Sus scrofa: one gene and its partner. The protein of the gene in region 2 purifies or fractionates together with the protein of the main gene of each other region. This does not show direct contact. Links are inferred from orthologs where the notes say so. Each region holds a gene or a part of one and is shown on either strand. Other genes may lie near its edges.

The links.
Region 1: the proteins of S100A4 (region 2) and PPFIBP1 purify together in Homo sapiens (co-immunoprecipitation; 3 studies listed by BioGRID and IntAct, with this or other methods). This does not show direct contact. The link is inferred for Sus scrofa from reciprocal best matches to the Homo sapiens genes S100A4 and PPFIBP1.

What each region holds. Positions count from the first base shown.
Region 1 is NC_010447.5:46,037,875-46,041,689, forward strand, and holds part of PPFIBP1 (liprin-beta-1), read right to left. Parts: intron 234-3,815; coding exon 111-233; intron 1-110. UniProt on the Homo sapiens protein: May regulate the disassembly of focal adhesions. Did not bind receptor-like tyrosine phosphatases type 2A.
Region 2 is NC_010446.5:96,087,719-96,091,583, forward strand, and holds S100A4 (protein S100-A4), read left to right. Parts: upstream 1-1,523; coding exon 1,524-1,664; intron 1,665-3,150; coding exon 3,151-3,315; downstream 3,316-3,865. UniProt on the Homo sapiens protein: Calcium-binding protein that plays a role in various cellular processes including motility, angiogenesis, cell differentiation, apoptosis, and autophagy.

The DNA of each region.
Region 1 (3,815 bases), on a different chromosome or scaffold from region 2:
AGATGCTTTACTTCCCCAGGTTCCAAGAGGAAACAGGTCTTTGCCTCCATACATGGACAGGCATGTGCATGGTAAGTGCATGCTGTGTAAACCTTGACCTCAGATGCTACCTCATCAGACGGCCGCCTCCGTAGACAGTTTGGTTCAAAGTTATTGATCCTCAGGACCTGGATGGCCCTTTTGATGCTGAGATGATGGAGCACACTTACAACTTTCAGAGACAGTAAGTCATCCTACAAAACAAAACAAAATGAGGAGTTCTCTGAGCAGGAGAACCTTCTTAGGGACATCTCAGAAAACTCAAGGTAAAGTAGAAGAGCCCCTCCACTGATAGGCCCCCAAGGGCTTGTCAGCATTTTCAAAGCTTTTCTTTAGGAACAGAACCCTTTTTCCTGTTCTGAACAAAATTTTCTCCAGGACCCCAACATAAATGAAAACCAAAATTCATGTTGTTCCAACTGAAGCTAATTTCTACCTGTTTCTCTCGTCTACTGAGATAGGATCATGGGACTGAACAGCTTTGAAAAGCACAGTTTGGAAAGCACTCCCAGGAGTTCCCTGGTGACTCAGGGAGTTAAGGACTGAGCGCTGTCACTGCTGTGGCTCGGATTGCTGGTGTGGCACAGGTTCAATCCCTGGCCTGGGAAATTCCCCATGCTGTGGGTGCAGCCAAAGAAAGAAAGGAAGGAAGGAAGGAAGGAAGGAAGGAAGGAAGGAAGGAAGGAAGAAAGAAAGAAAGAAAGAAAGAAAGAAAGAAAGAAAGAAAGAAAGAAAGAAAGAAAGAAAGAAAGAAAGAAAAGCACTCCTTGGTTGTCAAGGGGGAGGGAGGAGAAAGTGGGATGGACGGGGAGTTTGTGGGTGGTAGTTCAAACTATTACATTTAGAATGGATAAGCAATGAGGTTCTATTATATTCACTCTCTTGAGGTAGAACATTTTGGAAGGATAGTATTAGAAGAAAAATGTATATATATATATGTATGATTGTGTCACTTTGCTACACAGCAGAAATCGACACAACACAATCAACTATATTCTAATAAAAATTAAAAAAGAAAAAAAAGCACTCCCTGGGTCACCACAGAAAGTAACCTGCTTTGATTTGATTTGATGAAGCAGATAACTGAGAGCTGGGATGATCACTGATGAGTTGGTTTTCTGAGCTCAGGCACATCACAGTTTGGGGGAAAAGTGGAAGATTGCTTCTGTGATATTAACCCCCCAGACTCAAGAAATCTCTGCTTCTAGATTATAGTGTTTTATTGATAAGAGGTTTGGAATAATTATATTAATCGATGCAAAGCTTTCGGTGAGAGGTAAGGACAGAAGAGAAATAAAGAAGTTGTTAAGTAGCAGCACAGATCACCAGGCGATTCCTTTAAGAAGTAACTTTCACCAAGTCTGTGGCTATTGGGAACTTTTAAAAACATACCAAACACACCAAAACAAATTATCTTAGAAAGTGATTTGGGGGCGGTAGTGTCAAGAAAAGCACTAGTCTGCTTGCAAACACACCCAGAAAATAAACAAGGAAAATATCCATTTCAGACACGCCTTACCGATAACATTTCCTGCAAGGGAAAAATTAATCTACTATAGGAATATTTTTAAAATAAAATTATAGGACAGTTTAAATCCTTAAGGCTACTAACTGAGCCTTAAAAAATGATTTCCCAAATTCTTTTCTAGATTAATTTCTTAATGTAATAATAAGTTAGAAAAGGCATTTAACTTTTTTTTTTTTTTTTTTTTTTTGTCTTTTTGTCTTTCTAGGGCTGTACCTGCGGCATATAGAGGTTCCCAGGCTAGGGGTCCAATCAGAGCTGTAGCCCCTGGCCTATGCCACAGCCACACCAGGTCCGAGCCATGTCTGTGACCTATACCACAGCTCACGGCAATGCTGGATCCTTAACCCACCGAGCGAGGCCAGGGATCGAACCTGCAACCTCATGGTTCCTAGTCAGATTTGTTTCCGCTGTGCCATGATGGGAACTCCACATTTAACATTTTTAATCTAAGATTGAGATGCACATTCAAAACATTTCCATGTGCACTATTACCAACTAATTAAAAGTCTTTCAGATTAAAAAAAATTTGAAATGCTTAAGTATTTACAATGTAAATAAGATATTAATTAGTTTAAGGGGTTTTAAAAGCAGGGGTCATTTTCTTTTAAATCAAAACACTTTAGGGGAGGGTTTTGTTTGTTTGTTTGCCTCTTCTAGGGCCACTTCTGCAGCATATGGAGGTTCCCAGGCTAGGGGTCTAATCGGAGCTGTAGCCACTGGTCTACGCCAGAGCCACAGCAACGTGGGATCCGAGCCGTGTCTGCAACCTATACCACAGCTCATGGCAACGCCAGATCCTTAACCCACTGAGCAAGGCCAGGGATCGAACCCTCAACCTCATGGTTCCTAGTAAGATTCATTAACCACTGAGCCACGACGGGAACTCCAGGGGAGGTTTTTAAAAATCTTTTAAGTAATTTTAGATTTATACAGGAGCTGCCAAAGAGAGTACAGAGACTCACAGGCCCTTCACCCAGCTTCCTCTAATGCCAACATCTTCTATAACCAGGATATTCAACAAACGAAGACATTAATACAGACAAAATCAAATTCAACTAAACCTTAGACTTTATTCAGATTTTACCAGTTTTTCCACTAGGTCCTTTTTTTTTTTTTTACTTTAAAAAAAAAGAATACTTAAAATTTCTCCATTTTTAAACATTTTTATTAAAGTATAGTTGATTTAAAGTGTTGTGTCAATTTCTGCTATACAGAAAAGTGATTCGGTTATATATACATATACTTTTTCATATTTTTTTCCATTACGGTTTATCACAGGATATTGAATATAGTTCCCTGAGCCATCTAGGATCTCGTTGTTTATCCATCCTACATACAACAGTTTGCCTCCGATAATCCTAAACTCTTAATCCATCTCTCCCTTATCCCATTTCCCCCTTCACAACCACAAGTCTGTTCTCTATGTCTGTGAGTCTGTCTCTGTTTCATAAATAAGTTAATTTGTGTTGTATTTTAGATTCTACATAGAAGTGCCAACATACGGTATTTGTCGTTCTCTTTCTGACTTATTTCATCTAGTAAGATAATCTCCAGGTCCATCCACGTTGCTACAAATGGCATTATTTCATTCTTTTTTTATGGCTGAGTAATATACAATTGTGTGTGTGTGTGTGTGTGTGTGTGTGTGTGTGTGTGTGTGTGTGTGTAGCATTTAGGTTGTTTCCATTCTTGGCTATTTTGAATAGTGCTGCCATGAATATACGGGTGCATGTGTCTTTTCAAATTTAAGTTTTATCTGGATATATGCCCAGGAATGGGCTTGCTGGATTATATGGCAGCTCCATATTTAGTTTTTTGAGGAACCTCTATATTGCTTTTCATAGTAGATGCACCAATTTATATTCCCACTAGGTCCTTTTTCTGATCCAGGATCCAAATCCAGGATACCAGATTCAAACAGACTTTCTTTGATTTTGGATTTCTGGTAATTTATTCTTTTATAGCCATGGAAGTCATACGTTTGTCTTTTGTGATTTTCAGTCTGAATTTGCTCACATTCCCACAGGAACATAGTCATCTCTAGATAGGCAGACAAATAGGTACAAATGCTGTTTGATATTCTACTATTTTCCAACAGTGGAAACTTGGTTAAATTACTCAGTTTCTCAATTCTTTTGTTTCCTCATCTAAAAACTGGGGATGAAAAGAGTGCCAACTCAAGGACAGCTGAGACCTAAGTATTAATTAGGAGTAAAGTGTTTGAAAGTGTGCCTGGTACACAGTAAGT
Region 2 (3,865 bases):
ACACCCCCAGCTCCTGTCCTGGGCTTCACTCAGGAGGGTGGAGAGCCCTTTGGGGAGTGGAAGGGCAGTCTGAGCTGTCCCTAGCACTGAGCGTGGGGTCCCCTCCCCGTGTTGGGCAGCCACATGCCAGGGCACTTTCCCACCACCCCTAGTCCCCTTTCCTCTGTTCTGGCTTCCCCAGAGACCACCGGCACCCCAGGCCCCAGGCACTGACTGCCCCTTCCTCCAGCTCCCTAAAACTCAAGTGTCCACCCCACAGAGGCCCCTCCCTGTGCCCACTGGGGCTCTCCCATGGTCCCCCCGCCTCCCCGTGCCCGCCCTGGGCAGGAAGCTGGGTTTCCAGGCTGGGCTGGTGGAGGGGGCCGGCAGCGTTTACCGCATCTGACCACGATAGGAGGGAGGGCTGTCTCCTGCTCTCCCCCAGCCCCTGCATGGGCAGGGCCCCGCCAGGGTATAAATAGGTCAGGCTGCTGGGCTTCCCCACTCTTCCTCTCGCCCCAACCCTCTCTCCTCTGCGCTTCCTCTCTCTTGGCCTAGTGAGTTGTGGTCGGCCTGGTGAGTTGTGGTTGCCTGACTGGCACACGAGGGGGGGTCAGGCTGAGGCTCGGTGCAGGAGAAGCAGAGGCTGGTGGGCACCAGATGTGCTAAGTGGGTCGGGATATGAGATTCTGATGGGAAGGCTCTTGGGTGGTGTGTGTGTGTGTTTGTGCGTGCGTGTGTGTGCACGTGCATGTGCATGCCAGAGAGACGCAAAAATTAAAAGTAAGAGCGAGGAGCAGGTGGCTGATGGGAGCTGTCGCAGCGGTACTGGGATGCTGGGGCTTGCCTGTGTGGTGGCTGTAGTAGGTTTTGGGATGCTTGTGACCGGTGGGTGTGCACATTGGCTCATGTTTGCTGCGTTGCACAAGCCAGTGTATGCACACTCGGGCATGGGAAGCACAGTGAAGGCAGTAGGCGATGGCAGGCTTTTGTTTCCTTGTGTCCTGGGAGCTTCTGCCCTGCACACAGCAGCCCAGCTCAAGGGAGGGTGGCCTCCCCATCCCTCCCCTGCATCCGCGTGCGCCTCTGCCACCTCATCCTGCCCCTCCCTATGCAGTGCCGGGCCGCTGGTTTTTTCCGCTACAGGCCCCTGGGCAGATCTCCAGCAGTGTCGCCCAACCCAGCGCTGTGAGAGAGAGAATGGGCCAGGGTGGGGCTGCTGGGGGCTGAGCCTGGGAGTGAAGGGCCCGAGGGAGGAGGGGTGGAGAAAGGCTCTGGTTAAACGGACTGCCTGCAACCCGGAACCTGCCATCCTGGCCCGCAGGTGTTCACTGCCCCAAGCACGAACTTCCCAAGTGTGCACAGCCACCCCGCCAGGAGCCGAGCCCCACCTTTCAGGGCTCCCTCTTGGGTGGAAGCAGAGTCTCTCCAAGGGCTCCCTGAGGGATGGAGGTGGGGGCATTCTGAATACATAGCTGGGGGCAGGGTTGGGGGGGGGGATAAGGATGTCTCTGTGATCCTGCCCCCAGATCCTGACTGCTGCCATGGCCTACCCCCTGGAGAAGGCCCTCGATGTGATGGTGTCCACCTTCCACAAGTACTCAGGCAAGGAGGGTGACAAGTTCAAGCTCAACAAGTCTGAGCTAAAGGAGTTGCTGACCCGGGAGCTGCCCAGCTTCCTGGGGGTGAGTGATGCTGAGTGGGGCGGAGCGGGGTGGTCTTCAGGACTTCAGGAGCATCAGCAACCGGGGCCTCTCTGGCTGACATGGGCAAGTGGGGGCAGAGAGCTTGCTCTGGCTGCCTAGTGAGCACCCACTGCTCACTTCCTGGCCCCCAGCCGAAAGAGGCACAATGGACCTGGAGGGAAGCTGAAGCTCAGAGATACTAAGTCACTTCCCTAAGTAGTTCGTGTATAAAGCTGAGATCCATGAATCATGATGGTCTGACTCTTGCCATCAATCCAGCTATGAGCCATTTTTAAAAATAAACACTCTATCAAAGTTTCTTTCTTTCCCTCCCTTCCTTCTTTCCTTCCTTCCTTCCTTCCTTCCTTCTTTCTTTCTTTCCTTCTTCCCTTCTTTCTTTCTTCCCTTCTTTCTCTGACCGCACCTGCAGCATGCAGAAGTTCCTAGGCCAGGGATGGAACCTGCGCCACAGCTGTAACCAGAGCCACAGCAGTGACAAGGCTGGATCCTTAACCTGTTGAGCCATGAGGGAACTCTGCCACCTTCTTTTTAAAACTGATGTGTAGTTGATTTTCAACGCTGTGTTAGTTTCAGGTATACAGCAAAATAATTCAGTTGTACATACATGCATATTTTTTCAGATTCTTTTCCATTATAGGTTATGACAAGATATTGCATATAGTTCCCTGTGCTATAGAGTAAATCCCTGTTGCCTTTCCTGTTTCATATATAAAAGTATATATTTGTTAATGCCATACTCCTAATTTGACCCTCTCCCCTATAAACCATTTTTGAGTTTCTCTTTGGCTTGTGAATGTGAAGATACACACATACCTACAGACACACCCCAGCGTAATCACAGTTACCATCTGTATCAACCTTTGTACAATTTATGCATTGCTTTCATGACCACTGTCTAACTGGAGTCTTTTTTTTTTTTTTTTTTTTTTTTTTTTGGTCTTTTTGTCTTTTTGCCATTTCTTGGGCTGCTCCCACGGCATATGGAGGTTCCCAGGCTAGGGGTCGAATTGGAGCCATAGCCACCAGCCTACACCAGAGCCTCAGCAACGCGGGATCCAAGCCGTGTCTGAAACCTATACCACAGGTCACGGCAAAGCTGGATCCTTAACCCACTGAGCAAAGTCAGGGATCGAACCTGCACCCTCATGGTTCCTAGTCGGATTGGTTAACCACTGAGCCATGACGGGAACTCTTCTAACCAGATTCTTAAAATGACCTTGGCAGACGATGTTGTAGTCCCCTTTTCCAGGGGCTTCCAGGTACCCAGACTTCCTCATCTGAAGGGCAGATCTCCTCCACGCCCTCGCCTAGCCCTGAGGGCTGGAGGTTCAAAGCTCCCCCCGGACCCACAGCCTGCCTGTGCCTTCCTGAGGTCCCATCTGGAGCTAGTCTCAGCTCTGCTCCCCCTGCCCCCACCCTGCCCCTCCTGCTTCCAGTTTCTACCCGCAGCCTCTTCCCCCTGCAGAAAAGGACGGATGAAGCTGCTTTCCAGAAGCTGATGAGCAACCTGGACAGCAACAGGGACAACGAGGTGGACTTCCAGGAGTACTGCGTCTTCCTGTCCTGCATCGCCATGATGTGCAACGAGTTTTTTGAAGGCTTCCCTGATAAGCAGCCCCGGAAGAAGTGAGGGCTCCTCGGATGTGGGTGGGGGCCCTGCCAGCTGGGAGGGGGTCTTCCCTGACAGAAAGGGCACAGTGCCTCACCGTGGCTCTTCCTGACCTGATCAAGTTCAATAAAGATTCTGAAAGCTATAAGACTGATGGTCTGAGAGGGTGGGATGGGGCCTGAGGGATATGGGGGGTGTGTGGGTGGGAGGGGTACTGGCAGGTTTGCTGCTGTTTTGTGAAGAGTGGAGAGCAGACTGGTGAAGGTGGGAGAGGGATGCGTGACCGTGCATGGGTATGTGGGACAGACTTGACTCAGGATGGGGCTGAAGGCAGGGAAAGGGACCCCAGAGGCTTGGACCGCCCCAGCTGTAGGATCTCGGCCAGGGCACTCACCCATCCCATCTCCCCAACGTTGCCTCCAGCAGGACCGCAGACTGAAGCTGGGATGGGATGGAAGGTCACATCTGTTCTTGGTTGGGGTCTGGGAAGGAGTGTGGGCGCCCTGGGGATGGTGGGGGAAGGGCTGAGTCACGGGGAGGAAGTCGTGAGGCCAGAAGGGGGAGGGGGAGG